Macaca mulatta: one gene and its partners. The protein of the gene in region 1 purifies or fractionates together with the protein of each later gene. This does not show direct contact. Links are inferred from orthologs where the notes say so. Each region holds a gene or a part of one and is shown in the gene's direction. Other genes may lie near its edges.

Region 1 (4,005 bases):
GCCAGGCCCACCAGAAGGGCCAGTGAATGGACCCCCTTCTCCTGTTTGCTGCCCTACTTGAGTGTGGACTTGCTTGGCCGGTCCCTCATGGACTGACCTACAGCCGGCCTGCACCACAGCGGGGGCGAGACACCCTCACATGGGGCCTCCAGGCCTCTGCACTGTTGGGGTGTGGTCTGGGGCTCTGCTCTGGGCTCCCAGGGCCATAGGGGAGCTGGGCCCACCCCTGTGGGTCCCCCTACCCTGTTCCCACATGTCACCTGTCCTTTCCTCAGTGCTTCGGAGTCCACCTACTGAGGTGCAGATTGGCTGTGATGTCAGGCTTTCAGAGAGAGAGGGCGTCCCCGCAGCGGTGGGCAAGAGTGGGCAGTCGGGTGGAGAGGGTGAACATCTGTGCGGTCTTGTTACTGGGTAGCAGGTCTGTGGGATGTGTGCACGCCTGGGACCCCGCGGTGGAATTGCCGTCTAGGGGTTTGTGCTCACTCAGAGACGCTCTTGCGATGTACGGTGTCATCTGCATGGCGGGGGAGTGGGGGCTGGTCACATGTTTGGTCTCAAGAGCGTGTTTATCCATTTAAGTGGGGGCAAATGTGCCCGCCAGGCACAGCGCACAGGCCATGTGTGTCCATCACGTCTTATGCTAGGGCTGCTGTTGCCAGTGATAAGTGTGGGCACTGGTGCGTGTGAGAGGCATGAAGACCAGAGGGGGGCCGGGACATTGCCTTTTGGGCCATCACCCACCCTGCAGGTTTTGATGTGCTTCCGCCTCCAGACACAGGTGGCCTTCGGGCTCCCCTTGGTCCTGGCCGACACAGTGGGTGGCTGCGAGGCTCCTCCCAGCCTGTGAGTCAGCCTGGGGCTCACCGTGCCTTCCTACAGCTCACGCTAGCGTTCTCCCGACAGTGGATCGAGCGGGTGGTCGGCTGGCTCGGCAAGGTGTTCCTGCAGGACGGCCCCGCCAGGCCTGCGTCTCCTGAGGCTGGCAACACCCTGCGCCGCTGGCGCTGCCACGTGCAGAGGTTCTTCTACCGCATCTACGCCAGCCTGCGCATCGAGGAGCTCTTCAGCATCATCCGAGGTTGTCCCGCCCCGGCCTCGGGTCCTCTCTCCTGTCTGGGGAGCCTTCCCAGGGCCTTCGCCGCGTCTCCTCTGTGTCTGCGTCTGGGCTCCCCGTGCCTTCGCTGTCGCTCTTGCAGGGGGGTGCACCGGGCAGGGCTGGGACCCTCCCCACCGTGGGTGTCCCCTATGCCTGGATCAGGGCAGGTGTGGCAGATGCTGGACGGTGCTTCTAGGTGTCCACTGCTATGCTCCCTTGTTCTTGGCTCTTGCTGGGGACTGGCCCCTGGGTGTTGCTCTGTCCACCCTGTGGCATTGTGGTCAAATGCATCAGCACGCCGAAGTGTCCGGGGGGACGTCTGGTGCCTAGCAGGTGGTCTCATCATCTTCCTGGGGCTGGCGAGCGCATGTCCTCTCACACACTGCACACACCCTGCACCAGCCCGCACGTGCACACACATCTGTGTTCGTCCCTGAGGGATGTTCCTCTTCTTGTAGACTTTCCAGACTCCCGGCCGGCCATCGAGGACCTCAAGTACTGCCTGGAGAGGACAGACCAGAGGCAGCAGCTGCTCGTGTCCCTCAAGGCTGCCCTGGAGACTCGGCTCCTGCATCCAGGTGCCGTGTGCTGCCTGGCTGCCCAGCGCTCGGGGCTTAGACACTCACCAGGGTGCCCATGTCCAGGGAGCCTGGGGCCCAGTCTGCTAGCCCTGGACTTGTAGGTCTAAGGAAGGAATGGGTGGAGAAGCAGTTGGCGAGGTCCTTAGGGGATCTCGAGTGCCCATCAGCTTGCTTGTTTCTTCTTTGAAGGGAGTCGGGACTGACTGGTAGGTCTGAGGTGATGAGACTTAATTCTCTCAGAACAGACCACCCTGCAGGGCAGGGCCTGTGAGCAGGTAGAGATGGGGATGGGGGGACAAGGGAACAAGGCTGCAGTGGGGACCTGTAGACCACCTGACCGGCATGGCCAGCTGTCTACTCGGGCGTTGGCCCCTGGGAGGCTGTGGTCCCGGGCACTGCATGACTGCTGGCCTCTGCCCTGTCTCTAGGCGTCAACACGTGTGACATCATCACCCTCTACATCTCTGCCATCAAGGCGCTGCGTGTGCTGGACCCTTCCATGGTCATCCTGGAGGTCGCCTGTGAGCCCATCCGCCGCTACCTGAGGTGAGGGCCGCGCCGGCCTGGGAGCCACTGGGACCCCCGGCATCCTGCTGAGCTCCTCGTGGTCCTGGGGGCAGCCAGAGGGTGTGCTCAGCCCTCAGGACACAAGGTCTCCCCCAGCTGGGGAGTGCACAGGATCAGGCCCAGGGCTCTTTCCTTTCCTCTTGCCGGTGCTGGGCACCTGTCCTTGTCACACGGTGTCACTGTGCCCTCTGTGTGCAGCTGCCAGAGGCCCACCGCAGCCCTTCCTCTGCCTCCTCCTCCCCAGTGCAGAGAGAATCTCTTCCACTTGGCCTCGCCTTGGTGCTGACCAGCCCCCCCGGCTGACCAGGCAAGGAGAGTGGGCTCTGTGCTGTCCCAGCCTTTCCTACAACAAGGAACAGACACTGCCCGGGGTTGTTCGGTGGAGAATGTGCTGGAATGAGGACCTTGACGTGGCCTCCTGGAAATTCCTCAGGGCCGGCAGGCACTGCAGACCCCAGAAGCCGAGCGGTAGCAGCTGGTGGGAATCTGGCGCCTGTCTGGACTTGTTTGGTGCTTTGTGGCTGTAACTGGCCTGGCTTCTGGGCCAGTTCTTTTTTTTTTTTTTTTTTTCAGAAGATATATCTTTTTTTTTTTTTTTTTGAGATGGAGTCTCGCTCTGTTGCCCAGGCTGGAGTGCAGTGGCCGGATCTCAGCTCACTGCAAGCTCCGCCTCCCGGGTTTATGCCATTCTCCTGCCTCAGCCTCCTGAGTAGCTGGGACTACAGGTGCCCACCAACTCACCCGGCTAGTTTTTTGTATTTTTTAGTAGAGACGGGGTTTCACTGTGTTAGCCAGGATGGTCTCAATCTCCTGACCTTGTGATCCACCCGTCTCGGCCTCCCAAAGTGCTGGGATTACAGGCTTGAGCCACCGCGCCCGGCCAACTTCTTTTTTTTTTCTTTCTTTTTTTTTTTTTTTTTTTTTTTTAAGTTTTAGGGTACATGTGCACAACGTGCAGGTTTGTTACATATGTATACATGTACCATGTTAGTGTGCTGTACCCAGTAACTCATCAGCACTCTGGGCCAGTTCTTTGTTTTTGTTTTTTTTTTTGAGACAGAGTCGCCCAGGCTGGAGTGCAGTGGCGCGATCTCGGCTCACTGCAAGCTCCGCCTCCCAGGTTCACGCCATTCTCCTGCCTCCGCCTCTGGAGTAGCTGGGACTACAGGCGCCCGTCACCACGCCCGGCTAATTTTTTTTTGTATTTTTAGTAGAGACGGGGTTTCACTGTGTTAGCCAGGATGGTCTCGATCTCCTGCCTTCCTGGTCTGCCTGCCTCAGCCTCCCAAAGTGCTGGATTACAGGCGTGAGCCACCCCACCTGGCCTTTTTTTTTTTCCGAGACAGGTTCTTGCTGTGTCGGAGTGCGGAGGCAGAATCCTATCTCCCTGCAGCCTCAGACACCTGGGCCTGAGTCTTCCTGGCTCAATGTCCCTAAGTGCTGGGAGCGCGCTCACAGCTCCTGCTGTTCCCGAGTAGCGTTGAGTTTATTTGTTTTTAAGGAGTCTGACGGGCCTGTCTTTAATACACAGCCTGTCACACTGAGTGTAGAGGCAGGGTGGGTGGTGCTGGCCTAGATGGGGCCGGGACTGGGGTGAGTGGTGGGAGGTGCACGCAGGGTGTCCACACTGTGGGCCACAGCAGCACTCACGTCGGCAGGACACGGGAGGACACGGTGCGGCAGATTGTGGCCGGGCTGACAGGGGACTCGGACGGGACAGGGGACCTGGCTGTTGAGCTGTCCAAGACCGACCCTGCAAGC
Region 2 (4,572 bases), about 40 Mb from region 1:
ACAGATATTAAACTCAATTGGGGGAGTTGTGTTTTCTCAAAAACAAAACAAAACAAAACAAAATGGTTTTTGTTAACACAGTATTACCTCGGGATTTCAGGCTGTGGAATGCTCTTTTGAACCTCTTTTCTTCTTCTTCTTTTTTTTTTTTTTTTCTGAGTTGGGGTCTTATGGTGAGATCATGGCTCACTGTGGCCACCTCAAACTCCTGGGCTCAAGTGATCCTTCCATCTCAGCCTCCTGAGTAGCTAGGACTACAGGTACACACTACCAGCCTAGCTAATTTTTTTACTTTTTTGTAGAGACAGGGTCTTGCTATGTTGCCAAAGCTGGTCTTGAGCCTCCTTGTGCACTCTTCTCTCTGCCTGCCCTTCAGAAGTCAACTAAGATATCATTTTCTCCAGGAAGGCTTGCCTGACATCCTTGTCCACCCCACACTCAGCCCAGACTGGATTAGGTGCCTGTGTGATGCCAGTGCCAGTATCCTCATTAGGGTTCTCGTTATATGATATCACAGTTTTCTTTATTTTCCCCACAGATTATGACTGTACCTTTTAATTCTGTAGCTGGAGCACAAGAAGTGTTTGTTTAATGAATGACGTACACACATTTAGGATCTGTTTGGACGCTGAGGATAATCCTGTGAATTGGTGAGTTGGAGTCTTCATGAGATTTAGCAAACTGATTTTAGCATTCAGGAGTGATCACAAATCTCTGACAGTTCTCACGTAGAGTAGATTAAATTCACTGGTTTGTCCACTTTCCCCTCTAACTATACTGAGATGTGATAGTTTATTCTTTTAGCTAGAGTATTTCTTTGAATGTGACTAGAACATGAGATTAAAGTGATAGTTTGCTATTTTAAATTCTTACTGAAAGAGTTTTTGATTTTACAGAGCTGTAGATCTCCATAATGTAATAAAAATGTAATAATCATATACCTAAAGACTTTAGAAGTTGGCTGGGTATAGTAGCTCTTGCCTATAATGCCAGTACTTTGGGAAAATGAGGAGGGAGGAACACTTGAGCCCAAGAGTTTGAGACCAGCCTGGGCATCAGAGAGAGATCCCATTTCTACAAAAAACACAAAAATTAGCCAGATATGGTGGTGTACACCTGTAGTCCCAGCTACTCTAGAGGCTGAGGCAGTAAGATTGCTTGAGCCCAGGAAGTTGAGGCTGTAGTGAGCTAAGGTCATGCTACTGTGCTCCAGCCTGGGCAAAGAGCAAGATCCCATCTCTTAAAAAGACTTTAGAAGTCTGTGTGAATTCAAATAAAGTTTTAATACTTCCATTCACTTTAGTACACAGGCTTGCAAACTGATTTTATGTTTTGTATCTGAGACTTTATTACCTTCAGTTTTTCCTCCTCTCTTTCATTTTTATCAGCTAATAGTTCACTGGGTTTGGCCCTTAGTGTTGACTTCAGTATGCTGAGACGAAAACCAACACGCCTAGAGCTAAAGCTTGATGACATTGAAGAGTTTGAGAGCATTCGAAAGGACCTGGAGGTATGAATACAACTTTGTGTTTTTTTGAGATGGAGTCTCGCTGTGTCACACAGGCTGGAGTATAGTGGCATGATCCTTGGCTCACTGCAACCTCTGCCTCAGCCTCCCAAGTAGCTGGGACTATAGGTACATGCCAGCATGCCCGGGTCATTTTTGTGTTTTTAGTAGAGACGGGATTTTGCCATGTTGGGGCCAGGCTGGTCTCCAACTCCTGACCTCAAGTGATCCATCCGCCTCAGCCTCCCAAAGTGCTGGGATTACACATGTGACCCACTGCACCCAGCCAGTGATTGATTGCAGAAATCATGTCTGTTTGCATCACCATTTCCTACCATCTAGCTCATGGTAGGAGCCCCATATGTATTTTTAAGTGTGGCCTTGCTACATGGTATTAGATGTCCATTAATAAGACTTAAATTATTCAGTGGTCTACAGAATAAATTCCAAATTCCCTAGCATGGCATATGAGGTCCTTTGTGAGCTGGTCCTTGCTTATCTCTCCACTTTCACTGCTGGGTTATCTTTAATCTCAATGCCTATACACAAGTGTTCCCTTTGCCAGAAAAGTCCTTTATTTTTCTTTGCCAGGCTAACTCTTACTTCTTCCAGCCCCCAGCTGGGTTAGGCTCAACCTCATCCTCCTGTGCTAACCTCTCTCATAAGCACTGTTAGTCTCTGTTGTAATTGTCTGTTTGCTTTTGTTTTCCCTCACTGGGCCATAAGCTCCTTGAAGTCAGGGATTAGTATATTTCTGTCTGCATCTGTTCCCTGCAATACCAGGCCCAAAGGAGGGCTCAATACAAGTCTATTTTCATTTGCTGTCCTAGCAGATATCTTGTACTATATGGCAGAGGACAGTACATTTTGCATGTATTTACCAACAGCTTTATTATGGATTGTATATGCTTCATATTAAGACTAATAACTTAGATTTCTTCCCCCTGCTTCATCCCAAGACACTTTAGTGTTCTCGAAGCATCATAATTTCTGCTTTTAAAAAACTCATATATTATTAAGGATGAGCTTTAAAGTATGGCTTAAACTTCAGTTGTTACAAATCTCATAAAATGCTAGCATGCCGAACTTTGACTCTACAGAGTCAGCTCACTATTGAGTTAGTCTTTTCACCAAAGGCAGTTATCTAGTGGGTTTTGCCCTGTTTTAGAGTAACTTAGGAAGCAGGGACAGTCATGCCCTAAAGTGAAACCAGTAGAAAACTGGCCTGTTTCATTTATTACCAACATGAGTTTGATTATCTACTGTGACTCTAGCTTCTGAAACAGCAGTTGCTCAAAGTGGGAACCCTTTTAAGTGATTTCATTCCACTTGGATATTCTCAGAATGATAGAGTTGTTTGCCTTTTAGAACTTGTTTTCACAAAGATATTTAGGTAGAACTTTCTAACATCACTTACTAGTAATCAGGAAGGTCATTTGCCACATAAAAGGCAATACCTTATTTTATTCACTGTAATACTTTGTGAGTGTTGGCATTTATTTTATTTTTTATTTTTATTTTTGAGACAGGGTCTTGCTCTGTCGCCCTGCTGGTGTACAGTGGCATGATCACCACTCACTGCAGCCTCTACCTGCCAGGCTCCAGTGATCCTACCACGTCCGGCCCCCTGAATAACTGGGAATACAGGCATGTGCCACTATGCCTGGCTAATTTTTAAATTTTTTGTGGGCCGGGTGTGGTGGCTCACGCCTGTAATCCCAGCACTTTGGGAGGCCGAGGCAGGCGGATCACGAGGTCAAGAGACCATCCTAGCTAACATGTTGAAACCCCATCTCTACTAAAAATACAAACATTAGCTGGGTGTGGTGGCATGCACCTGTAGTCCCAACTACTTGGGAAGCCGAGGGCAGGAGAATCGCTTGAACCTGGGAGGTGGAGGTTGCAGTGAGCCGAGATGGCGCCACTGCACTCCAGCCTGGTGACAGACCGAGACTTGGTCTGAAGAAAAAAAAAAAATTTGTGGGGACAGATGGAGTCTCACTATGTTGCCCAGGCTAGTGTCAAACTCCTGGGCTCAAGCAGTCCTCCCAAAGCAGTGGGATTTACAGGCATGAGCCACTGCGGTCAGCCCGATGCTTGGCATTTAAATGCCCACAGTCCAGCAGCAAGTGGTGAAGAATGGTGGTAATTCCAGTGATTTGAGTAGCTGAGCCATTCTATTATTATTAAGGAATTTTGGATAAAACATCATTTCACTCTCTTAGAGAAAGTTATCATCTGTTGTCCTTACAGTCAGGTAGTGGCAGTTACGGGATAAGTGTTTCTTTTTGAAAATGATCAAACTGAGACATACTTTGTGGATTCTGCAGTCACATGTGACTTAAGAACCAAACCTTTTATCTGAAAACAAAATGAAGCCACAAAACCCAGACCTTTTGATAAGATAGCATAAAACCTTCTCATGTTACTTTTAATCTCATGGGATCAGTTAGGCTATAGATTTTTGGTGGTTATTTCTTTACCAGTCAATTTATTTTTCTGTCTATTCTCTAGAATAATAAATTTGTTGAAATACCCTTTGCTCCCCCTTGTCTGCTCTTACATCTTTCCAGTTGTAGCTTCCTGTTGTACCACCACACCCCAACTCCTTACCTCGTCTCTTTGGCAGTGTTGACTTCCCTCTGTCATAGGTCATAGCCCGGATCACCCTATAATCGTCTCTTTGGCTGTTTACCTATTAGACTGTGACATCCTGGAGGGCAGGGGTTACATCTTTTTTTTTTTGAGATGGAGTCTCACTCTGTCACCAGGCTGGAGTGCATCTCGGCTCACTGCAACCTCCGACTTCCTGGTTCGAGTGGTTCTCCTGCCTCAGCCTCCTGAGTAGGTGGGATTACAGGCATGTGCCACCATGCCCAGCTAAGTTTTGTATTTTTAGTAGAGATGGAGTTTCACTGTCTTGGCCAGGATGGTGTTGATCTCTTGACCTCGTGATCCGCCTGCCTCGGCCTCCCAAAGGGTTGGGATCACAGGTGTGACTCACTGTGCCCGGCCACATTGTTTATTTTTAGTAGAGATGGGGTTTCGCCATGTTTGCCAGGCTG
Region 3 (4,607 bases), on another chromosome or scaffold:
GTGTGGCTTTGCAAAACTGAAAAACCTAGCTCCTGACGGGGGCGGGCAGGGGACTAAAATAACATAAAGATCGGAAATTCAGTTCCTGAAACCTTGTGTCAATGTTGGCTTTAGCTGAATTCCAAATCAAGTTGACATTTTTTGAAAGCAGGAAGCAATGACAGAGTGGACTACTGATGCTGTCACCATCTGCCAGCACAACGTAAATTAGAACAGAAAGGACTAAGCAAAGGCATTCCACCTTTTAAAGAGAGAAAATGGCATCAGTACAATCAACATATACAATTTTTACAAACAACTTTTAGAGTTGCATCTACATACATTTTAAAAGGCAGTGTGCCTGTTTATAAATCTCTACCCCATTTTAGTTTCAGAGCCTTTTTTACTACCCTGATCACTGATCATGCCACAGTCAAAAGGCAATCTCAAAAATTAATCTAAAAATAGTACTGCATTCCAAATAAGAAAATATATATACTTTGTTTTACTATTAAGCTACAGCTAACAGAAATCTAATCAACGATCCTTATGATTTTCTCTTACCTAAAAAATAAACGCAAGCACGTGAGGAACTGTATAAATACAGAGCATCTACCCTACAATACTGCTTTATAAAAGAATAAATTCTTTTAATAAGTTTAACCGGACATAAAGCTCAGGGAAAACTACTTTGTGCATATTAGTGTACGGTGCTTAAACTATACAAGATGACTAGTCTCTGACATCATACACATCTTTACTCTCCTGATGTCGTATACGACATAAAAAAAACCACATTATAAGCCTAAATGTACTGTCTTCAAGTATCTCCATGATTAAAGTGTTCCTAAGAAACCGTCCTTGTTTCTTTCTATCCCTGATCTGTGTGCATGGAGCAGTTAGTTCAGGGTTCTCCAATTTCAGTCCACGATTTCTGCCATATTTCCGTACCTGCTGTACTAAACATAACCGTTTACACCAACTCACTATTTTAAAAGCTGCCAACCTTAACATGCCACCCTAAATGAGCGGGTCCCCTTGTGCCGTGAATGAAGTAGTCCTAACAGCGCTAGCTAAACAGCAGCCCTGGCCGGGAGGCCGCACAGGGGTCCCTCCGCTGAAAAGAAAGGTGGGTCCGCCGGGAAAGGTGAGTACTGGGCGCAGCTCGCCCGCCCACCTGGCTACTCTCCGAAGCGCCCCCAGCCACCCGGCCTCCGAGGAAACGCTGTGACCACCTGGCGGGGCCGAACCGCGCGCCGGGCTGCGCCATGCCGGACTACGCCGGTGTGCAGGGCATAGCGGGCCAGGCCGAGGGACGGGGCTCCGGGGCGGACGCGAGCCGGCGGGGAGGCGCCTGGTGGTTCGCAGACTGTTGCGCGAACCGGCCGCAAGCCATGAGGCCGCGAAGCCAGAGTCACCAAGGCAGCCTGGGCCGCCTCCGGACCAGGACGCGCTCGCCCCTTGCGCTTCCGTCTTGCGCACGGGCGGTTACACGGCTGCAGCAAGCGCATCCCTCAGCCTTCCCGCCGTTACCTCGGGCGTGCACTGCGCACGCGCGCCACCACTAAGCTTACGTCCAGCCTCAGCAGTCGGAGCGTTCGTTCCGCCCACTGCCCCCACACTTTTAATAATTGAATCAATGTCTTCTCCAGACTTCCCCTGCACGCGAGCAAATGGACTCACCCACATCCGGGAATCCGAGAAAGAGCGTGCAGACACGTGATGCGGGGCGTGGCAGGAGGAAGCGTCTGCCGCGCTGGGCCGCGTAACGGTAAGGGTTTGCAGCGCCCCCGGCCTAGGTTTTGGAGGCGCGGGAATGCGTTCGTGGCTCAGTGTCGGACTTCCCCCTATTTCCATCGGCCGAGGCTGTCACTTTACGCTCATAACCGTTTTCTTTACTGCACGCTGTGTCGGGAGGAAAGGGACTTGCTTGGCACCCCAGACCTCCCCGTCTCCGCTTCCACGTTTGGTACATCCTGCGTCAGGCCGGAAGCCGCGGCTGAGGGGCGGCCTCTCGTACAGTGTGGTGGCCTGCGAGGCTCATTTCTAGCAAGGAACAATATTTTCCCGCTTTGACCTTACAGATACATGTTTACAAAGCTATAATGTATAGAAATGGATAAGACATGTCCCTGTCCCGGGAAACGCAGGCACTGCGTGTCTGGAAAGACATACATCTGGGCTGTTTGACAGGCTACCTAGTTGGTGCCATGCTCTGTGCTTAGGGAACTATGAGATCCCCGGTGGGTACTGGGACCGCGCTCAGCCTGAGGTTTGGAGGCGGCCTCCTACAGGAAGCGACTTGAGACCTGAGATTTTTAGACTGACTATGGGTTCGCTGGAATAAAAAGGAAGAAACAAACAGCATTGCAGGCATCGGGACTGTCACGTGTAAGAAAAGTTTGTTCAGGAAACAGTGGTCGTATTGTGTGACGAGTATTTGGGACGGTGGCTGTGCCTTGGGCATTGATTAGATTATCTTGTTGCTTTCCATCCTTCCAGCCCCTTAAGAGTGAAGGCACCTTCACGCCTAACCCCGGAAATGGGATGTTGACCTCCAAGAGCTGACGCCTGCGTTGATCTTGAAAGGAAGAGTGGCATTAGTGATGTGGAAAGGGGGGTTTTAACTGTCAAGGCTGGAAAATGTGACAGGGTTTGAGGTGTTTGGAGAAGGGACAGGTGAAAAAGATTGAGGCCAAATTGTAGAAAGATCTACTAAGGAATCCTGGGTACAAAATGTACACATAACAGTTGGAGACAATAATACCTGAGCAATTGATCACAAAGCTTGTTTAGTAGATTTAAGTTAGGACAAGAAGCAAGAGTTCAAGGATAGAAGGCCTACTGAAGCTCGAGTGATCTGAGAAAACCTTACTAAAAGGTGGAAAACCTATGTGGGCCTGGGAAAGTCAGGTTTGGATCAGCTGAGGAAAGTGAAAAGGGTATCCCAGGAGACACAGCAGCAAGGACAAAGGAGTAGCAGCAGGAAAGTGGGGAGCTCTTATAAGACAGGGACTTCAAAAGTATAACCAAAACTTCGTCTTGCTTTGAGTTATCCACTGGGTAGTAGGGGGTTAATTATTGAGTACTGGATTAATTAAGCCCTCACCTGGCTCACCGGTGACAGAAGTAGCAGGGCGCGTTTTGCTTAAGTTTTGCCCAGATCTTTTAAACCCTTTCCTACACACCAATCTGTGTATAATTTTTGCCAAGGTGTTGGGGATATCTTGCAGTTATCCTATGGGGGACATCTGTGAGCCTTTTTTTTTTTTTTTTTTTTTTTTTGAGACCAAGTCTTTTTTTTTTTTTTTTTTTTTTTGAGACGGAGTCTTGCTCTGTCACCCAGGCTGGAGTGCAGTGGCCAGATCTCGGCTCATTGCAAGCTCCGCCTCCCGGGTTCATGCCATTCTCCTGCCTCAGCCTCCCGAATAGCTGGCACTACAGGTGCCTGCCACCACGCCCGGCTAATTTTTTGTGTTTTTAGTAGAGACGGGGTTTCACCGTGTTAGCCAGGATAGTCTCGATCTCCTGACCTCGTGATCCGCCCACCTCGGCCTCCCAAAGTGCTGGGATTACAGGCGTGAGCCACCGCGCCCGGCCATGTGAGCCATTTTTACAAAAACTTCCACCTGCCTTGGCCCAAACCTCAGCATTCTTAGGCACAGGAGCTCATGAACATACTGAGATAACACTAAAATGGACTATGGGAAGGGACCAACTACAGACCTGACACAAATCCTCAAGGCAAGACGATGTCTGAAGTTGACCTTGTAAAGGAAAAGGCTTCCTTCCTTAAAATAGCACCCAGGCTGAGCTCTGAAAAAAGCACCTCAAGATGGTGGGTTCCACCCCGCCCCCGCCAAAATTGCTTATTGTGTGAGTCTCCATAGTCTCAGAAACAGAATAACTGAGAGTACCTTTGATGCCAGTGGCTTCTGGGCTTTTTGGATTGTGACTTTGTAACAGGGAGCACCCATAGGATGACGCCTATGATGAATCAGGGCCCAACCTTGGAAACAGGGAATCCAAAAGTATCCTCCAAGCTAGCCAGCCTTTTGGATTAGAAAGCATACCACAGATAGGATGAAATTAAGCAAGGTTGTCTACTTCTGAATTAAATAATTCATTAACTAAGGACCTATTTATTCTTTGTTATCTATAAGTAATTATTAAGACTGAACTTTGTTTTTAAGTTTAAGATAATATATTATTGCTTTACAATAAATGATAGCTCTTTTCAATCTGTTCAAGTATGTTTGAATCTGTCTTGTAGAACAAGATGTATGTGATTCAAATATAGATAAGTAAATATCATTTAATATATATTGAGCATAATTTTAGAGGGGAAAACACGTTCACATACTACGAATTAGAATCCAGCGGAAAATTTTAAGTCTGGATATTGCATAACAGTTTGCTAAGCATAAAGCAAAACATAAATTAAGGTAATTGAAAAGAAATATATTGGTATCTGTGAACTCTGGTACAAAGCAGAGTTCAGTAGTAATACATTTAAATTTAAAATACAAGTAAATGGTCCCAGATCCTACACTAAGTGTGGCCCATGACTTACCATTTTAAGAAAATTGCTGGTAGGGTGTGAATTGGTCATTTGTTGGGGTTTTTAT
Region 4 (4,567 bases), on another chromosome or scaffold:
GTGACAGAGCGAGACTCCGTCTCAAAACAAAAAAAAAAAAAAAAAAAAAAAAAAAAATCAGGTTTCTTTTAATCCTATGCCAAATAGATATTTAAAGAAAACTGGCCTGTTTATGCATTGCCAAATTATTAGCTTTCTGGTAATGTACGTATTTCTCCAACAAGCCCTGGATGGAGGCCTCTAGGTGCTCCTTCCCTGGTAAACATGGGACTGTTCATTTGGCTGCGTAAGCTGGGAAAGTTGGTTTGTGTGGGTGCCTAAAAAAGAATCTGTGTTCAATGAAGTATTGTCAATAGGGTGAATTATGTGTTTGGCACACATAAACGGGACAAGATGTGTAAAGTGCTTGGTCAGAGAGCGACTGTATTTCTTCTTCTTCTTTTTTTTTTTTTGGAGACTGGGTCTCACTGTGTCACTCAGGCTGGAGTGCAGTGGCACAATCTCTGCTCACTGTAACCTCTGCCTCCCGGGTTCAAGCAGTTCCTCATGACTCAGCCACCCAAGAAGCTGGGATTACAGACATGCACCCCCATGCTCGGTTAATTTTTTTTTTCTTCATTTTTAGTAGAGACGGGGTTTCGCCATGTTGGCCAGGCTGGTCTTGAACTCTTGGCCTCAAGCAATCCCAATCCGCCTGCCTCGGCCTCCCAAAGTGCTAGGATTATAGGCGTGAGCCACAGCGCCCGGCCTAATTTTCGTATTTTCAGTAGAGACGAGGTTTGCTATATTGCCCAGGCTGGTCTGAACTCCTGGGCTCAAGCGTTCCACCCACCTCGGCTTCCCAAAGTGCTAGGGTTACGGGCGAGGGTGAGTCACGGCGCCCAGTCTAATTTCTAATTTGTATTCAGCTCTCAGCGTGTCCTCAACGTGACCCCACCCAGGTTCAGGGTACTGGAACCTGAGCGAGGAAGGCGTGTTCTGGGGAGAGTAGGTAGTGTGAGGGGCCAGAGTGCAAAGGTCAGAAGGCATTTGGTGGAAGCTGTGTGCAAAGAAGCCTGAGGGGAGGTCCTTCGATCTCGGTTACCTTGGCGATCTCTACCAGAGGGTTAGAGTTGCCAAGAGGCGCCTGCTGCCGCTTCCTTTCTCCCGCCCTCCCTTTGGTTTAGCTCCGCCCTCTGCTCCCACAGGTTAAAAGCAGACGCCGACGCGGTTGCCTAGTGACACTTTTCCCAAGATGCCTAGGGTATTGTTGTGTTCTTCTTAGCCAATCAGAGAGGCGAAGCGGGCCCACCGCCTGCCAATAGACTGCGAGATCAGGGCCCGCGACAGTTAAACGGGGCCGAAGGCAAGGGTGACTGGTTAGCGCTGCTCGGGGGCTTCTCCGTGCTGGTCCCTGAAGCTCCCGGTCCCGGTCCCTGGAGCTCCGCATTTGGGGGCGCAACCTGCGTGAGGCAGCGCGACTCTGGCGGCTGGCCGGCCATGCCGTCCCGGGCTGAGGACTATGAAGTGTTATACACCATTGGCACAGGCTCCTATGGCCGCTGCCAGAAGATCCGGAGGAAGAGTGACGGCAAGGTGAGCGTGGTCCCTTCCCTGTGCCAGCCTCTGCTTAGGGGCGAGCGCCCTGCGCCACCGAAGGGAACCGAGAGGGCTGGGGAAGTGGGTGCCCGGAAGACTCAGCCGTCTTTACTGAGTCTGCATCTGACAGCCTGTCCTGGGTCGCTTAAAGGATGGGAGACCGCGTCTTTTGATATATGTATTTCCATCTTTTCCCGTTTCTCTCCCCATTTCTCTCTTCTGCTTTGGGTTGCTAAGGACCTTCCATTGGTGACACGTAGCTAACTCCTGAGCTGTTTTTAGAGCTCTAAGAGTGGCCCTCTCAGACACAAGAAAGGGGCAGGACCACCAGAACCCGAAGCTTTGTATCTGCAGTCAGACTCCCTCAAAATACCCATTATTCGGATTATTGGATTCATATTTCCCAATGTATACAGGTAGACCTTTTACAGAAAGTAATATTGGACAGGAAACTGCCTGGCTGCTTTTCCAAGGTGTCTCATCCTGGGAAAACACGACTGAGGTGGAATGGGGCAGGGACTTTGACCACCTCCACCCCAATTTTGACTAAAGTACCTTTTTGCCAACTTCCCACTAACCAACTGAGGGTAGGGGTTGGGGGAGACCTCATGTGCCTTATTCCCCTTTATCTCCCTACAATATCATTTACTGCTTAGAAATTGAAAGAAGATTATGGAAGTAAACTCACAGTTCCTTAAGTTCATTGAACTAAATTAGATAATGACCTTGATTGTAGGATATAATTAAAAGGAAGGTTATTTTTTAAATCTTGGAACTTTCATTCTTTGTTTTTGAGCGTAATGAGTTCATTCATACCTTGGAAATTCTTATTTTAGATATTAGTTTGGAAAGAACTTGACTATGGCTCCATGACAGAAACTGAGAAACAGATGCTTGTTTCTGAAGTGAATTTGCTTCGTGAACTGAAACATCCAAACATCGTTCGTTACTATGATCGAATTATTGACCGGACCAACACAACACTGTACATTGTAATGGAATATTGTGAAGGAGGGGATCTGGCTAGTGTAATTACAAAGGGAACCAAGGAAAGGTAAGCATAATCTTTTAAAAATGTAAGCTGAAATTAGGTCTACTTTCATTTATTTTAAGCATCTTGTTTTAGGATCAGTAATATGGAAGAGTATACTTGCATTTGTTTGGTAGGTCCATAGTACTTTAGAAAATTCCCGGTGAATCAACACCCATATTTTATATCAAAATAACAATCTATAGGCTGAGTGTGGTGGCTCACACCTGTCATCCCAACACTTTGGAAGGCCGATGCAGGAGGATCACTTGAGCCCAGGATTTCAAGATCAGCCTGGGCAACATAGTAGGACCCTGTTTCTACAAGAATTAGCCAGGTATGGTGACATGTGCCTGTAGTCTAAGCTACTTGGGAGGCTGAGGCAAGAGGATTGCTTGAGCCTGGGAGGTCGAGGCTGCAGTGAGCCATGATCGTGCCACTGCATTCCAGCCAGGGTGACAGAGCAAGGCTCTGTCTCAAAAAATATAAATAAATAAATAAATAATTGATTTCCCTATTAGTACACTGGATAATTTATATCATCCCATCTTGGCAACGATTTTTTTTTTTTTTTAGAAGTTATATGCTGTATAACTGTTTTGGTTTCAGGCAATACTTAGATGAAGAGTTTGTTCTTCGAGTGATGACTCAGTTGACTCTGGCCCTGAAGGAATGCCACAGACGAAGTGATGGTGGTCATACTGTATTGCATCGGGATCTGAAACCAGCCAATGTTTTCCTGGATGGCAAGCAAAACGTCAAGCTTGGAGACTTTGGGCTAGCTAGAATATTAAACCACGACACGAGTTTTGCAAAAACATTTGTTGGCACACCTTATTACATGTCTCCTGTAAGTATTTCAGAATTTAGATACTTTTTAAAACATCTTTTATTTTTGTTTTTTTGTTTGTTTTTGAGACAGAGTCTCGCTCTGTTGCCCAGGCTGGAGTGGAGTGGTACGATCTCGGCTCACTGCAACCTCTGCCTCCTGGGTTCAAAGGATTCTCTTGCATCAGCCTCCCGAGTAGAGTAGCTGGGACGACAGGTGCATGTCACCATGCCTGGCTAATTTTTGTATGTTTAGTAGAGACAGGGTTTCATCATGTTGGCCAGGCTGGTCTCAAACTCCTGACCTCAAGCAATCTGCCCACCTCAGCCTCCCAAATTGTTGGGATTATAGGCGTGAGCCACCGCTCCCAGCCAAAACATCTTTTAATGTTAAGCATTCTGAAGCAGGGAAATTGAGTTTTCTGTTTGTTTAAGAATTGAAAATACTGTTATATTTTTCCACATGGACCACCAGACCAATAAAGTCTATGAGTTTTTGTTTGCTTCATGAATTATGTGTAATAATGTAAGTATGATGAAGACAGATTCCTACTCTAAGGTTTGCTACTGTTTGTCATCTCTCAGTGGGTTCAATTTTTTGAGCATTCATGCAAATTAAAGCATATTCAGTTCAAGCTTTTATGGAATGATTACAATGCATTAAACTCAAGGATTACAAAAATGAAATGGATTTTGTCCCTGCCCTCAAGAGCTGTTTCCAATGTGTAGGTCCTGGTCATCTGCATCAGACTCACTTGGAGTGTCTGTTTAAAATGCAGAGTTCTGGGTGCTAAACCAAACCCAAATCCGTCGAGTGAATTTCGATCTCTGGGTAGGTTCTTGAACTCTTGTTTTTTTTTTTTTTTTTTTTTTTCTTCAATATTGTACTTTTTATTTTAGACTTTGCATTTTAACAGACTCTGTAAATGATTCTTGTGCATGCAGAATCAGAGCTCAGGAAGTTTGCTCACTGAGATAGCATGTTTTTACAATGTAACTTTTTGTACGTGTTATTTTTTTGTTGCCTTTTCCTGAAATATCGCGCTGAGTCCACTCACCAATTACCTCTATTGCTGGATATTTTGTTTCCAAAATGTTTCACCATTCTTAGAAGTACTGTTCTGCATATCTTTGTATGAATTATTCTTTCTTCCTTTTTGGTTATTTCCTTGACATGCAGCTCATAAAATG
Region 5 (4,005 bases), on another chromosome or scaffold:
CTCGTGATCTACCCACCTCGGCCTCCCAAAGTGCTGGGATTACAGGTGTGAGCAACCGCACCTGGCCATTTTTTCTTTAAAAAATACTGTATACCGGCCGGGCGCGGTGGCTCAAGCCTGTAATCCCAGCACTTTGGGAGGCCGAGACAGGTGGATCACGAGGTCAGGAGATTGAGACCATCCTGGCTAACACGGTGAAACCCCGTCTCTACTAAAAATATAACAAATTAGCCGGGCGAGGTGGCGGCGCCTGTAGTCCCAGCTACTCTGGAGGCTGAGGCAGGAGAATGGCGTAAACCCGGGAGGCGGAGCTTGCAGTGAGCTGAGATCGCGCCACCGCACTCCAGCCTGGGCGACAGAGCGAGACTCCGTCTCAAAAAAAAAAAAAAAAAAAAAAATACTGTGTACACTTTTTAGAGAGCTGAGCGCAGTGAGACTTTGGGAAGCCAAGGTGGGAGGATCACTTGAGACCAGGAGTTAAAGACCAGACTGACTGGGCACGATGGTTCATGCCTGTAATCCCAGCACTTTGGGAAGCCGAGGCGGGCAGATTACGAGGTCAAGAGATGGAGACCATCCTAGCCAACATGGTGAAACCCCGTCTCAACTAAAAATACAAAAATTAGCTGGGCTTGGTGGCGGCGCCTGTAGTCTCAGCTACTCAGGAGGCTGAGGCAGGAGAATCGCTTGAACCTGGGAGGCAGAGGTTGCAGTGAGCAGAGATCGCGCCATTGCACTCCAGCCTGCCGACAGGTGAGACTCCGTAAATAAATACATATGTACATACATATATACACACCAGACTGGGCAACATAGCAAGACCTCATCTCTGTTGTAAAAAAAAAAAAATGGAAAGAGGCCAGATGCAGTGGCTTATGTCCATAATCCCAGCACTTTGGGAGGCCAGGCAGGTAGATCACCTGAGGTTAGGAGTTCGAGACCAGCATGGCCAATGTGGTGAAGCCCCGTGTCTGCTAAAACTACAAAAATTAGCTGGGCATGGTGGCTCATGCCTGTAATTCCAGCTACTTGGGAGGCTGAGACAGGAGAATCGCTTGAACCTAGGAGGTGGAGGTTGCAGTGAGCTGCTATCGTGCCACTTTAGTATGGGTGACAAGAGCAAGACTGTGTCTCAAAAAAAAATAAAATACCATATACACTTTTTAGAATTTTTGTTAAAGTTGTGTAAGCTTCTGTGGCAAAGAGAGTGTTTGTTTTGAACTTTAGTAAGGTGTCATGTATTCAGGACAGTTTTCTCTATAACATTTGCATTTTTTGATATGCAATAAGGTTAAACACTCACAGGTGCTCTGTTCATAATAGGCAATGATTTCCAAGATTGTTTCCTGAACTTTTTGTTCCGGTTTTGGGACGCCACCAAGTGATAAGTTTGGGTATTACATTTGAATGAAAAGGTTAATTTTTTTTGAGAGAGAGTCCTGTTCTGTCACCCAGGCTCACTGCAACCTCTGCCTCCCGGGTTCAAGCAATTCTCTTGCATCAGCCTCCCGAGTAGCTGGGATGAGAGGCGCCCACCACCACGCCTGGCTAATTTTTTTTGTATTTTTAGTAGAGACAGAGTTTTGTCATGTTGGCCAGGTTGGTCTTGAACTCCTGACCTCAGGTGATCTATCTGCCTCCACCTCCCAAAGTGCTGGGACTACAAGCGTGAGCCACCGTGCCTGGCCAAAAGTTAATTTTTAATGAGAAGGCCAATAGGTATTTCCTAACTAGTTCCCCTTCCCTGGGAACAGAACACAGTGTTACTCTGGAATTTTATTTGGAAAATATTATAATTTATTTATGTGGCTTGATCAGGATGTATCCAAGACAAACTGTCCTGTGAAGTGTGATGCTTTTATCCTCATATAACTTATTTCCTCAGTCAAATTTCTGCCTTGGCACTGCCATATCACCCCTTCATAACTCATGAATCACCCACAGTCAATCTCAGTTGACATAAACAGTTTGCTAATGGTAGGAATTCATGTTTTAAGTAGATATACTATTCTTAAGCTTATTTTCAATTCAAAACCTGACTGATATTTTGGCCTGAGACATCAATAAAATATCATGAAAGTAGAGAGGATAGAAAAACGGGGAGCTAACTCTTTATAAAACTGCATGCTGACCCTTACGGCAGCTCGAATGAAATGTTGTCACTCTCACTTCCATAAACTTGCCAATTGCTGTTTTTCTTTCTCTGTAGTGAAGTAAGAACTCTGCTAGAGAGGAAATGGCTGCTTCATCATCATCCTCTTCAGCTGGTGGGGTCAGTGGAAGTTCTGTCACTGGATCTGGTTTCAGTGTCTCAGACCTTGCCCCACCACGGAAAGCCCTTTTCACCTACCCCAAAGGAGCTGGAGAGATGTTAGAAGGTGATCTCATGCTGCTTTCTGAATAATTGGATTCAGACCTGCAATGAATATTAATTGTGAAGAAGCTATTAAGTGGATTAAAGATGAGTTTGCCCTGATTTCAGCTCTACATTTCATCTCTTGTCCCCATCTCAAAATAATATATTTAAAAACAGTCTTGCTCCAGAATCAGAATGTTGGAGCTGAAAAGGACTTTGGAAATCAAGGAAGTCATCTAAAGTTATTTAGATCCAGAAAAGTTAAGTGATTTGACCAGGTTAAAGGCAGAGGTAGGGCTGGGCACCGTGGCTTATCCATGTTATTCCAGCACTTTGGGAGGCCAAGGCAGGCGGATCACTTGAGGCCAGGAGTTCGAGACCAGCCTGGCCAACATGGTGAAACCCCATCTCTACTAAAAATACAAAAATTAGCCGAGCATGGTGGTAGGCGCCTGTAATCCCAGCTACTGGAAAGGCTGAGACAGGAGAATCACTTGAACAGTAGAAGTTGCCATGTGCCGAGATCATGCTACTGCACTCCAACCTGGGCAACAAAATGAGATTCTGTCTCAAAAAAACAGAGTTGGCCGGGCACAGTGGCTCACGCCTGTAATCCCAGCACTTTGGGAGGCCGAGGCGGGCGGATCACGAGGTCAGGAGATCAAGACCATCCTGGCTAACATGGTGAAACCCCGTCTCTACTAAAAAATACGAAAAAAAAATTAGCTGGGCGTGGTGGCGGGCGCCTGTAGTCCCAGCTACTCGGGAGGCTGAGGCAGGAAAATGGCGTGAACCCGGAAGGCAGAGCATGCAGTGAGTCAAGACCGAGCCACTGCACTCCAGCCTGGGTGACAGAGCGAGACTCTGTCTCAAAAAAAAAAAAAAAAAAAAAAAAAAACCAGAGTCAGCACTGAGTCCAGGAATTCTCTTGACCTCCTACTCCAGTTTGCTTTATCCTGGCACCTGTCTACCTCCCATGGTAGTAGGTTTGATGTGTCTTTTTATAGTATGATTAATCTACAGATAGATTCACCCTGTCAGAAAGGTTCTAAGAGGGAATAAAAGCTAATACAGTGCCCTTTTATGTGAACATGACTCCTGACCCACTGCAGCATGATGCTGTGTGGTTTTTCTAGCACCAGAGCCAGATTTGCATCAAATCATTCACCATCTTGTTCAGCATCATTGGCTAACTGACTAGCCAAGATCAGGGTACAGGCTGTAACCATGTCATTTGAAGAGCTAGACTAATAATTCTTATCAGGAGGCATAAAAATCACCTGAAGAGTTTACTTAAAATGCACATTTCTGGCCAGGCACTGTAGCTCACGCCCGTAATCCCAGCACTTTGGGAGGCCGAGGCGGGTGGATCACCTGAGGTCAAGAGTTCAAGACCAGCCTGCCCAACATGGTGAAACCTTTTCTCTATTAAAAATACAAAAATTAGCCAGGCATGGTGGCAGGTGCCTGTAATCCCAGCTAATCCAGAGGCTGAGGCAGAAGAATCATTTGAACCCAGAAGGCAGAGGTTGCGGTGAGCCAATGTTGTGCCACTGCAGTCCAGCCTGGGTGACAGAGCGAGACTCCGTCTCAAAAAAATATATAAATAAATAAATAAAATGCATATTTCTGGGCCCACCTTAGAGCTT
Region 6 (3,692 bases), on another chromosome or scaffold:
TCCCAGCTACACAGGAGGCTGAGGCAGGAGAATGGCGTAAACCCGGGAGGCGGAGCTTGCAGTGAGCTGAGATCCGGCCACTGCACTCCAGCCCGGGCGACAGAGCGAGACTCCGTCTCAAAAAAAAAAAAAAAAAAAAAAAAAAAAAGTACAAAAATTAGTCTGGTGTGGAGTCGCGTGCCTATAGTCTCAGCTACTCAGGAGGCAGAGGCACAAGAAATGAGGTGAGATCATGCCACTGCGCTCCAGCCTGGGTGACAGAGTGAGACTCCGTCTCAAAAAACAAAAAATTAATAAAAATAAAAGTAAAATAAAATAGAAACAGGGCTCACGATGTTTCCCAGGCTGGGTTCCACGATGTTTCCCAGGCTAGGTTTGGACTCCTGGGCTGGAGTGATCCTCCTGCCTTGGCTCCCTGAGTAGCTGGGACTAAACTGTGCCAGGCTTATACCTATTTTGGCGCCTAAATGTTCTAGCTCTGCAGACTCAATTTAGCCAGTCGTCCTGTTCCCCTCCACCACAGGCTCTGTTGCCATGAAGGTGAAGATTAAGTGCTGGAATGGCGTGGCCACTTGGCTCTGGGTGGCCAACGATGAGAACTGTGGCATCTGCAGGATGGCATTTAACGGCTGCTGCCCCGACTGTGAGTGTCCCCTCCATGCTGTCTGAGCTGCCCCAGCTGTGAGTGTCCCCTCCGTGCTGTCTGAGCTGCCCCGGCTGTGAGTGTCCCCTCCGTGCTGTCTGAGCTGCCCCGGCTGTGAGTGTCCCCTCCGTGCTGTCTGAGCTGCCCCGGCTGTGAGTGTCCCCTCCGTGCTGTCTGAGCTGCCCCGGCTGTGAGTGTCCCCTCCGTGCTGTCTGAGCTGCCCCGGCTGTGAGTGTCCCCTCTGTGCTGTCTGAGCTGCCCCGGCTGTGAGTGTCCCCTCTGTGCTGTCTGAGCTGCCCCGGCTGTGAGTGTCCCCTCTGTGCTGTCTGAGCTGCCCCGGCTGTGAGTGTCCCCTCCGTGCTGCCTGCTGCACTAGCCTCGGTGGCTCCTGTTAAACCTGCATGACATCCCCACAGTTCCTTTTCTTTTTTTTTTTTTTTTTTTGAGACAGAGTTTCGCTCTTGTTGCCCAGGCTGGAGTGCAGTGGCGCAATCTCGGCTTACTGCAACCTCTGCGTCCTGGGCTCAAGCGATTCTTCTGCCCCAGCCTCCTGAGTACCTGGGATCACAGGCGTGCGCCACTACACTCGGTTAATTCTGTATTTTTCAGTAAAGACGGGGTTTCTCATGTTAGGCTGGTCTCAAACTGTCAACCTCAGGTGATTCACCTGCTTCAGCCTCCCAAAGTGATGGGATTACAGGCATGAGCCACTGCACCCCCCCAACATTTTCATTGTCATTTCATGAAGAAAAGTTGATAGAAAAAAAGCCAGGTGGTTGGGACTCATGTTTGTATAAAGATCCTGCACAGACTTGATAGCATGAAACTCAGCTGTGAAATACGTGGGATTAAAAAGGGATTAGAGGCCAGGCGGGCGGCCTACACCTGTCATTCCAGCATTGTGGGAGGCCAAGGTGGGCGGATCACAAGGTCAAGAGATCGAGGCCGGCACGGTGGCTCACGCCTGTCATCCCAGCACTGTGGGAGGCCGAAGCAGGCAGATCACAGGGTCAAGAGCTCGAGGCAGGGTGTGGTGGCCTACACCTGTCATCCCAGCACTGTGGGAGGCTGAGGGAGGCAGATCTCAAGGTCAGGAGACCATCCTGGCCAACATGGTGAAATGCCATCTCTACTAAAAATACAAAAATTAGCTGGGCATGTGGCGCGTGCCTGTAATCCCAGCTACTGGGGAGGATGAGGCCGGAGAATCGCTTCAGTCTGGGAGACGGAGGTTGCCATGAGCCAAGAGCAAGACTCCGTCTCAAAAAAAAAAAAAAAAAAGATTAGTTTAAACTTTTTATTTGAAAATTCTCAAAATTGAATGGTATAAGCTAGGTGCAGTGGCTCACGCCTATAATCCCAACACTTTGGGAGGCCAAGGCAGGCGGATTGCTTCAGGCCAGGAGTTCGAGACCAGCCTGGCCAACATGGCAAAACCCTGTCTCTACTAAAAATAAAAAAAAATTAGCCAGGCATGGTGGCAGGCGCCTGTAATCCCAGCACTTTGGGAGGCCAAGGTGGACGGATCACCTGAGGTCAGGAATTTGAGACCAGCCTGGCCAACATGATAAAACCTCGTCTCTACTAAAAATACAAAAAAGTAGCCGAGCATGGTGGCGCATGCCTGTAATCCCAGCTCCTCAGGAGGCTGAGGCAAGAGAATCGCTTGAACTTAGGAGGTGGAGGTTGTGGTGAGCCAAGATCGCACCATTGCACTCCAGCCTGGGCAACAAGAGTGAAACTCCGTCTCAAAAAAAAAAAAAAAAAAAGTTTGATTACATTTAGGTTGAAAGCAGAGTTTTGTATCAGCAAAATGGTTTTTCATGAGACCAAAATGAACGTAAAGCAGAAGCAAGGGTCAAGGTTTTGCCCAGGGAGGACAAGAAGAACTCCCCCGAGGACAGTGGGCAATGGAGAGGACAGCGGGGAATGGGGAGGACCGAGAAGCTCCCTACTATCCCAAGTAACCAGGCGTATTTTTGTGGGGCCAGGTATATGCCCATATTGATTGACAGGGTCTCACTATGTTGCCCAAGCTGGACTTGAACTTCAGCAATCTCACTGCCTCAGCCTTGCAAGTAGCATACCACCACACTCATCTGGCTTTGCTTTTTTTTTTCTTCTTTTTTTGAGATAGAGTCTTGCCCTGTTGCCCAGGCTGGAGTACAGTGGCACCATCTCAGCTCACCGCAACACCCACCCTTCTGAGTTCAAGGGATTCTCCAGCCTCAGCCTCCCAAGTAGCTGGAATTACAGGCGCACACCACCACAGCCAGCTAATTTGTTATATTTTTAGCAGAGATAAGGTTTTACCACGTTGGCCAGGCTGGTCTCAAACTCCTGACCTCAGGTGATCCGTCCACCTCGGCCTCCCAAAGTACTGGGATTACAGGTGTGAGCCACTGCGCCCACCCCTGTCTTTGCTTCTTTTTTTTTTTTTGAGACGGAGTCTCGCTCTGCCGCCCAGGCTGGAGTGCAGTGGCGCGATCTCGGCTCACTGCAAGTTCCGCCTCCCGGGTTCCCGCCATTCTCCTGCCTCAGCCTCCCGAGTAGCTGGGACTACAGGCGCCCGCCACTGCACCCGGCTAATTTTTTGTATTTTTAGTAGAGACGGGGTTTCACTGTGGTCTCGATCTCCTGACCTTGTGATCCGCCCGCCTCGGCCTCCCAAAGTGCTGGGATTACAGGCTTGAGCCACCGCGCCCACCCCTGTCTTTGCTTCTTTAGGTGAAGTTGAAATGACTGAATCTTAGTACAATTTTTTTTTTTTTTTGAGACAAGGTCTTGCTCTGTCACCCAGGCAGCAGTGCAGTGGCAAAATCATAGCTCACTGTAGCCTTCAATTCCTGGGCTCAAGTGATTCTCCCACCTCAGCCTCTCAAGTAGCTGGGACTGTAGGCAGGCTCCACAATGCCTGGCTAATTTGTTTTTTAATTTTTTGTAGAGACAGGGTTTTGCTGTGTTGCCAAGGCTAGTCTTGAACTCCTGGGCTCAAGGGATCTGCCTGCCTTGGCCTAGCAAAGTGCCGGGATTACAGACGTGAGCCACC
Region 7 (4,444 bases), on another chromosome or scaffold:
GCTCACACAAAGCCTGTTTGGTGGTCTCTTCACACGGACGTGCGTGACAGTGGTGGCAGGTGCCTGTAATCCCAGCTTCTCAGGAAGCTGAGGCAGGGAGAATCACTTGAACCCGGGAGGCAGAGGTTGCAGTGAGCTGAGATTTTGAACTCCAACCTGGGCGACAAAAGCAAAACTCCATCTCAAAAAAAAAAAAAAAAAGAAAAGTTCACAGTGATCATGCCTACCAAAATCACATCAAAGGTCTCATACATCCAGAAAACTAGAGTAGGGGATGAGATGGGAAAAGGATCACAGGAGCTTCAACTGTGACAAAATGTAAGAGCTGAAAAAGTTGACTGGTGAAGATATACCGTGATTTTTTCAGAGCATTTTTTTTTGCATCTGTTACTCTAAAAATCAAATGAAAACAAAATATAGACCAAAACAACTGTCTCCTTCAAGAAAGGAGCGAAAGGCTATATCTGAGAGGGTGATTGTGGAGGATATTGGGATTCTGATTCAAATACCTAAACTGCCTCATTGGCTCAGTTACCTCCCTGGTCTCTGTATACATTCGAGTTTGCGATCCATCACATTTAACCACTGGCGATCTGATTCCAAGTCAACCATTTAACAACCTGAGCACAAAATTTAAGCAGGCAGTTTCTTCCCTTGTGAGAAGGGAAAGACAACTTCAACTTTATGGATTGTTGTGAACGTCCAATAACTTGTGTAAAACTTTTGTAAAAAGTTAACTGTGCCAGACACATGCTGGTTTATATGGGTATCAGCTAATTCCTGGATCTAGTCTTTATTTCCACGGATTTAGGGAATCATTTTACATGGTAAAATACGCCCCTCGAATTAACAAGTTCATCCAGGGACAAAGCCTGACTTTAGCAGGAACACAAAACACCTGAGCAGGGAGGCGGCGGCCCCTGCCTGGTGCGCATGCGCGACTGTAAAAGCCGTTAGGTCTGTCCCTGGCGCCCGATTAGAATATTTAATTCCAGTTGGAGCGCTTTTCCTCACCTTACTATATTTTATTTCTGGTAAATGCTCACACATTTTAATTTCTGAGAGGCCCAAATTCCTCTCAGACTCATTCAAATTGACCAAGTAGTCTTACTAAGGTAACTTTTGTCTCATTGTAAGTCCTCAGTAAATTTTGCAGTTTAGGATGATGACGTAATTTTTGCGTAAAAGTAACAACTCATTTCACCGGAAAGGGACCACGACAGGAGCAGGGACTCGAGTTTCTTTTTATTCGGGCACTTCAGTAGTTACCTCTTGCTTGGGGGCGGTGCCGCGTGTGGACCCGATGGACCCCGGCGACGCGGCCATTTTGGAGTCTTCCCTAAGGATCCCTTACCGGTTTTTCGAGACAGTGCTGCCGCCGCTGCCCGCGGCCTTGCAGGGCAGGATGAATGTGATAGACCACGTGCGGGACATGGCGGCCGCGGGGCTGCACTCCAACGTGCGGCTCCTCAGCAGCTTGTTACTTACAATGAGTAATAACAACCCGTGAGTTGAGGCGGGGAGCGGCCTGGGGCTGAGGAGAAAGCGGCAGTGGTCTGGGACCGGGGGCTCAGGGCACGCGGGAACAGGCGGGAAGGAGCGGCCTCCCGCACCAGCGGAGGCTCCGGCGTCTGCGAGGGCGTAGTGGAGCGGAGCAGACTTCGGAGCGCAAGTTGGGTTCACTGGGTGCCGGCGTCAAGTCCCTGCGGAGATGTGGCGAGCGGCGGCTTGGACAAATAGAAGGCAGAGGCTCTGAGGACGACCCAGGCGAGGGTTTTCTGAGGCACCTGTCGCGGGGTAGCGCGACTGTCACATCGCTGGGCCGAATCCTCCCCTCTCGGCTCCTTCCAGAGAACGTTTTTTTCTCTCGCTGCAGCTCCGGGACCCAGCCTCCTGGTTTTTATGCTCTAGCCCCGCATCTGAGATTGGTCACCCCATTAAGTGTATCAGGAGGGTCCACTTTCTCGCCTTGGGAAACCCCTGAAAACGGGGCCGGGCGCGATGGCTCACGCCTCTAATACCAGCACTTTGGGAGGCCGAGGCGGGAGGATCGCTTGAGCCCAGGAGTTAAGACTAACCTGGGCAACATAGGGAGACCCTGCTCTATGAAAAATAAAAATTAAACAATTAGCCGGGCGTGATTGTGCGTGCCTGAGTTCCCAGCTACTCGGGAGGCTGAGGCAGGAGGATTGCTTGAGCCCAGAAGGTCGAGGCTGCAGTGAGCCGTGATCGCATCACTGTCCTTTACCGTGTGCGACAGAACGACAGCCTGTCTCAAAAAAGAAACGGGAGATTCCATTAATGGGTGGGCGTGGCGCCTTTCTTGTTTCATTGAAGCACTGGGCTGATTCCATCCTTGAGTGTCCATCCTTAAGGACATGCCCCTCTCCTGCTTAAAATCCTTCACTGGCTGGTTGCAGTGGCTCAAGCCTGTAATCCCAGCACTTTGGGAGGCCGAGGCAGGCGGATCACGAGGTCAGGAGATCGAGATCATCCTGGCTAACACGGTGAAACCCTGTCTCTACTAAAAAAAATACAAAAAAATTAGCCGGGTGTGGTGGCGGGCACCTGTAGTCCCAGCTACTGGGGAGGCTGAGGCAGAAGAATGGCGGGAACCCGGGAGGCAGAGCTTGCAGTGAGCCGAGATCGCGCCGCTGCACTCCAGTCTGGGCGACAGAGCGAGACTCCGTCTTAAAAAAAAAAAAATCCTTTATTGCACTAATGAAAATTATTTCCCATGGCCTCCGAAAGGAACTATCTGCCCTTCACTCTCTGCTACTTCATCTCATTACTGTGTTCACTGCTCTCCAGCCTCTCTGGCTATTCTTTCTGTTATTTATTTATTTTTATTTATTTTTGTTTTTTTTTGAGACAGAGCCTTGCTCTGTCGCCCAGGCTGGATGGAGTTCAGTGGCGCGATCTCGGCTCACTGCAGCCTCCGCCTCCTGGGTTCAAGCGATTCTCCTGCCTCAGCTTCCCAAGTAGCTGGGATTACAGGCGAGCGCCACATGCCCAGGTAATTTTTGTAATTTTAGTAGAAACGGAGTTTCAATATATTGACCAGTCTGGTCTTGAACTCCTGACCTCAGGTGATCCCACCACCTCGGCCTCCCAAAATTTTGGGATTACAGGCGTGAGCCACCGCGCTTGGCCTCTTTGTGTTATTTGAATGTACCAAGCGTGTTCTCTGGGCCCTTGTACTTGCTGTTCCTGCTGCAACAGTCCTTATCTCAGCGCTGCCTCCTCCTTCAGGTTTTAGCCTGAACATCTCTCCTAGAGAACCTTCTCTGACTCCCAGGACTCTCAGGTACTCCCACTTTTCTACCCTTCGCATCGCCTAGCAATTGAAAGCACAGTGGATGTGCGCATTAAGCACTCACATGCTTATTGAGTGTGTTGAGGAAGTGAGTACAACTTCAGGGAGGTGAAATACCCTTGTCTGAGTTCACACATCTAATAAATGGAGGAGTACAATGTCTGGACCTGGTCTTCTCTGACTGGAGAGTCTCCATTCTGAGCCACCAGTCTGCTACCTCCAAATGGCATTATCATGGAAACTTCTACTCTGTAGATGTATTAGTGTTTGGCCTGCTATAGAAGCTGGTCTAGGTCAGAAGGGAAAGGTCCTTAAAGTGCTTACAATGCAGCTGCTGCTGCCCATTGGATTTTCATGAGTGTGCTTTGGTGTTTTGTTTTGCTTTTCAGTCAGAGTCTTGCTCTGTTGCCCAGGCTGGAGTGCAGTGGTGCGATCTTGGCTCACTACAGCCTCCACCTCCCAGGCTCAAGCGATCCTCCCACCTCAGCCTCCTGAGTAACAGGGATTACAGATTCGCACCACCACGCCTGGCTAATTTTTTTTTTTTTTAATAGAGATGGAGTTTTATCATGTTGACCAGGCTTGTCTCGAACTCCTGACCTCAAGTGATCCCCATGACTTAGGCCTCCCAAAGTGCTTGGATTACAGGCGTGAGCCACCGAGCCCGGCCTCATTAGTGTGCTTTGGACCTTACTAGTGAGACCCATCATTTTGCCACCATCCACTTCATGTTGACAGGAGCCCTGGTCTCTGTCAGCCTTCTGTGTTTATTCTGGAACCTTTCACTTGGTTCTTGGTTCTGAGTGATTTGTCAAAGCATAGTTTCCACGTTTGGAGATTTAGGCCCTACTTGCTCTTAGTTCTCAAAGATGTTACAGGAGAGTTTGAAACAGTTTAATTCTCTGGCTAGACTAAGTTCAGCCCATGCTTTTTCATGTTAGGTTAGATTGGCAGTTTCCTAGCTTTAGGACATGTTCAGGTTTCTGCCCTTCATGGTTTATACTTTAAAATTTCTTGTGGAATAGGCAGTAGACACTGTTAAATTCAAACAGTGGAGAAGGGGCATGCAGATCAGTATCTTTCCCTGAGTCTTGAACCTCACCCCACCATTTCCTTTCTCCAGAGGCA

What was found.
Region 2: the proteins of ANAPC2 (region 1) and CDC26 purify together in Homo sapiens (co-immunoprecipitation; 7 studies listed by BioGRID and IntAct, with this or other methods). This does not show direct contact. The link is inferred for Macaca mulatta from reciprocal best matches to the Homo sapiens genes ANAPC2 and CDC26.
Region 3: the proteins of ANAPC2 (region 1) and ANAPC13 purify together in Homo sapiens (affinity purification with mass spectrometry; 3 studies listed by BioGRID and IntAct, counting the BioPlex papers as one, with this or other methods). This does not show direct contact. The link is inferred for Macaca mulatta from reciprocal best matches to the Homo sapiens genes ANAPC2 and ANAPC13.
Region 4: the proteins of ANAPC2 (region 1) and NEK2 purify together in Homo sapiens (affinity purification with mass spectrometry; 4 studies listed by BioGRID and IntAct, with this or other methods). This does not show direct contact. The link is inferred for Macaca mulatta from reciprocal best matches to the Homo sapiens genes ANAPC2 and NEK2.
Region 5: the proteins of ANAPC2 (region 1) and ANAPC16 purify together in Homo sapiens (co-immunoprecipitation; 5 studies listed by BioGRID and IntAct, with this or other methods). This does not show direct contact. The link is inferred for Macaca mulatta from reciprocal best matches to the Homo sapiens genes ANAPC2 and ANAPC16.
Region 6: the proteins of ANAPC2 (region 1) and ANAPC11 purify together in Homo sapiens (affinity purification with western blotting; 7 studies listed by BioGRID and IntAct, with this or other methods). This does not show direct contact. The link is inferred for Macaca mulatta from reciprocal best matches to the Homo sapiens genes ANAPC2 and ANAPC11.
Region 7: the proteins of ANAPC2 (region 1) and ANAPC7 fractionate together in Homo sapiens (co-fractionation; 6 studies listed by BioGRID and IntAct, with this or other methods). This does not show direct contact. The link is inferred for Macaca mulatta from reciprocal best matches to the Homo sapiens genes ANAPC2 and ANAPC7.

Annotation. Positions count from the first base shown.
Region 1 is NC_133420.1:5,270,141-5,274,145, forward strand, and holds part of ANAPC2 (anaphase-promoting complex subunit 2), read left to right. Parts: intron 1-903; coding exon 904-1,078; intron 1,079-1,554; coding exon 1,555-1,674; intron 1,675-2,105; coding exon 2,106-2,223; intron 2,224-3,902; coding exon 3,903-4,005. UniProt on the Homo sapiens protein: Together with the RING-H2 protein ANAPC11, constitutes the catalytic component of the anaphase promoting complex/cyclosome (APC/C), a cell cycle-regulated E3 ubiquitin ligase that controls progression through mitosis and the G1 phase of the cell cycle.
Region 2 is NC_133420.1:45,041,140-45,045,711, forward strand, and holds the start of CDC26 (anaphase-promoting complex subunit CDC26), read left to right. Parts: upstream 1-1,429; coding exon 1,430-1,510; intron 1,511-4,572. UniProt on the Homo sapiens protein: Component of the anaphase promoting complex/cyclosome (APC/C), a cell cycle-regulated E3 ubiquitin ligase that controls progression through mitosis and the G1 phase of the cell cycle.
Region 3 is NC_133407.1:37,526,638-37,531,244, reverse strand, and holds the start of ANAPC13 (anaphase-promoting complex subunit 13), read left to right. Parts: upstream 1-1,715; 5' UTR 1,716-1,750; exon of another isoform or gene 1,751-1,796; intron 1,797-2,196; exon of another isoform or gene 2,197-2,370; intron 2,371-4,607. Other genes in the region: CEP63 (centrosomal protein of 63 kDa), read right to left, coding at 1,215-1,490. UniProt on the Homo sapiens protein: Component of the anaphase promoting complex/cyclosome (APC/C), a cell cycle-regulated E3 ubiquitin ligase that controls progression through mitosis and the G1 phase of the cell cycle.
Region 4 is NC_133406.1:69,411,239-69,415,805, reverse strand, and holds the start of NEK2 (serine/threonine-protein kinase Nek2), read left to right. Parts: upstream 1-1,386; 5' UTR 1,387-1,419; coding exon 1,420-1,515; intron 1,516-2,354; coding exon 2,355-2,572; intron 2,573-3,157; coding exon 3,158-3,398; intron 3,399-4,567. UniProt on the Homo sapiens protein: Protein kinase which is involved in the control of centrosome separation and bipolar spindle formation in mitotic cells and chromatin condensation in meiotic cells.
Region 5 is NC_133414.1:77,394,140-77,398,144, reverse strand, and holds part of ANAPC16 (anaphase-promoting complex subunit 16), read left to right. Parts: intron 1-2,209; 5' UTR 2,210-2,236; coding exon 2,237-2,378; intron 2,379-4,005. UniProt on the Homo sapiens protein: Component of the anaphase promoting complex/cyclosome (APC/C), a cell cycle-regulated E3 ubiquitin ligase that controls progression through mitosis and the G1 phase of the cell cycle.
Region 6 is NC_133421.1:91,557,336-91,561,027, forward strand, and holds part of ANAPC11 (anaphase-promoting complex subunit 11), read left to right. Parts: intron 1-523; 5' UTR 524-534; coding exon 535-643; intron 644-1,417; exon of another isoform or gene 1,418-1,607; intron 1,608-1,687; exon of another isoform or gene 1,688-1,926; intron 1,927-3,692. UniProt on the Homo sapiens protein: Together with the cullin protein ANAPC2, constitutes the catalytic component of the anaphase promoting complex/cyclosome (APC/C), a cell cycle-regulated E3 ubiquitin ligase that controls progression through mitosis and the G1 phase of the cell cycle.
Region 7 is NC_133416.1:117,568,001-117,572,444, reverse strand, and holds the start of ANAPC7 (anaphase-promoting complex subunit 7), read left to right. Parts: upstream 1-1,324; 5' UTR 1,325-1,405; coding exon 1,406-1,506; exon of another isoform or gene 1,507-2,507; intron 2,508-2,973; exon of another isoform or gene 2,974-3,016; intron 3,017-3,252; exon of another isoform or gene 3,253-3,307; intron 3,308-4,444. UniProt on the Homo sapiens protein: Component of the anaphase promoting complex/cyclosome (APC/C), a cell cycle-regulated E3 ubiquitin ligase that controls progression through mitosis and the G1 phase of the cell cycle.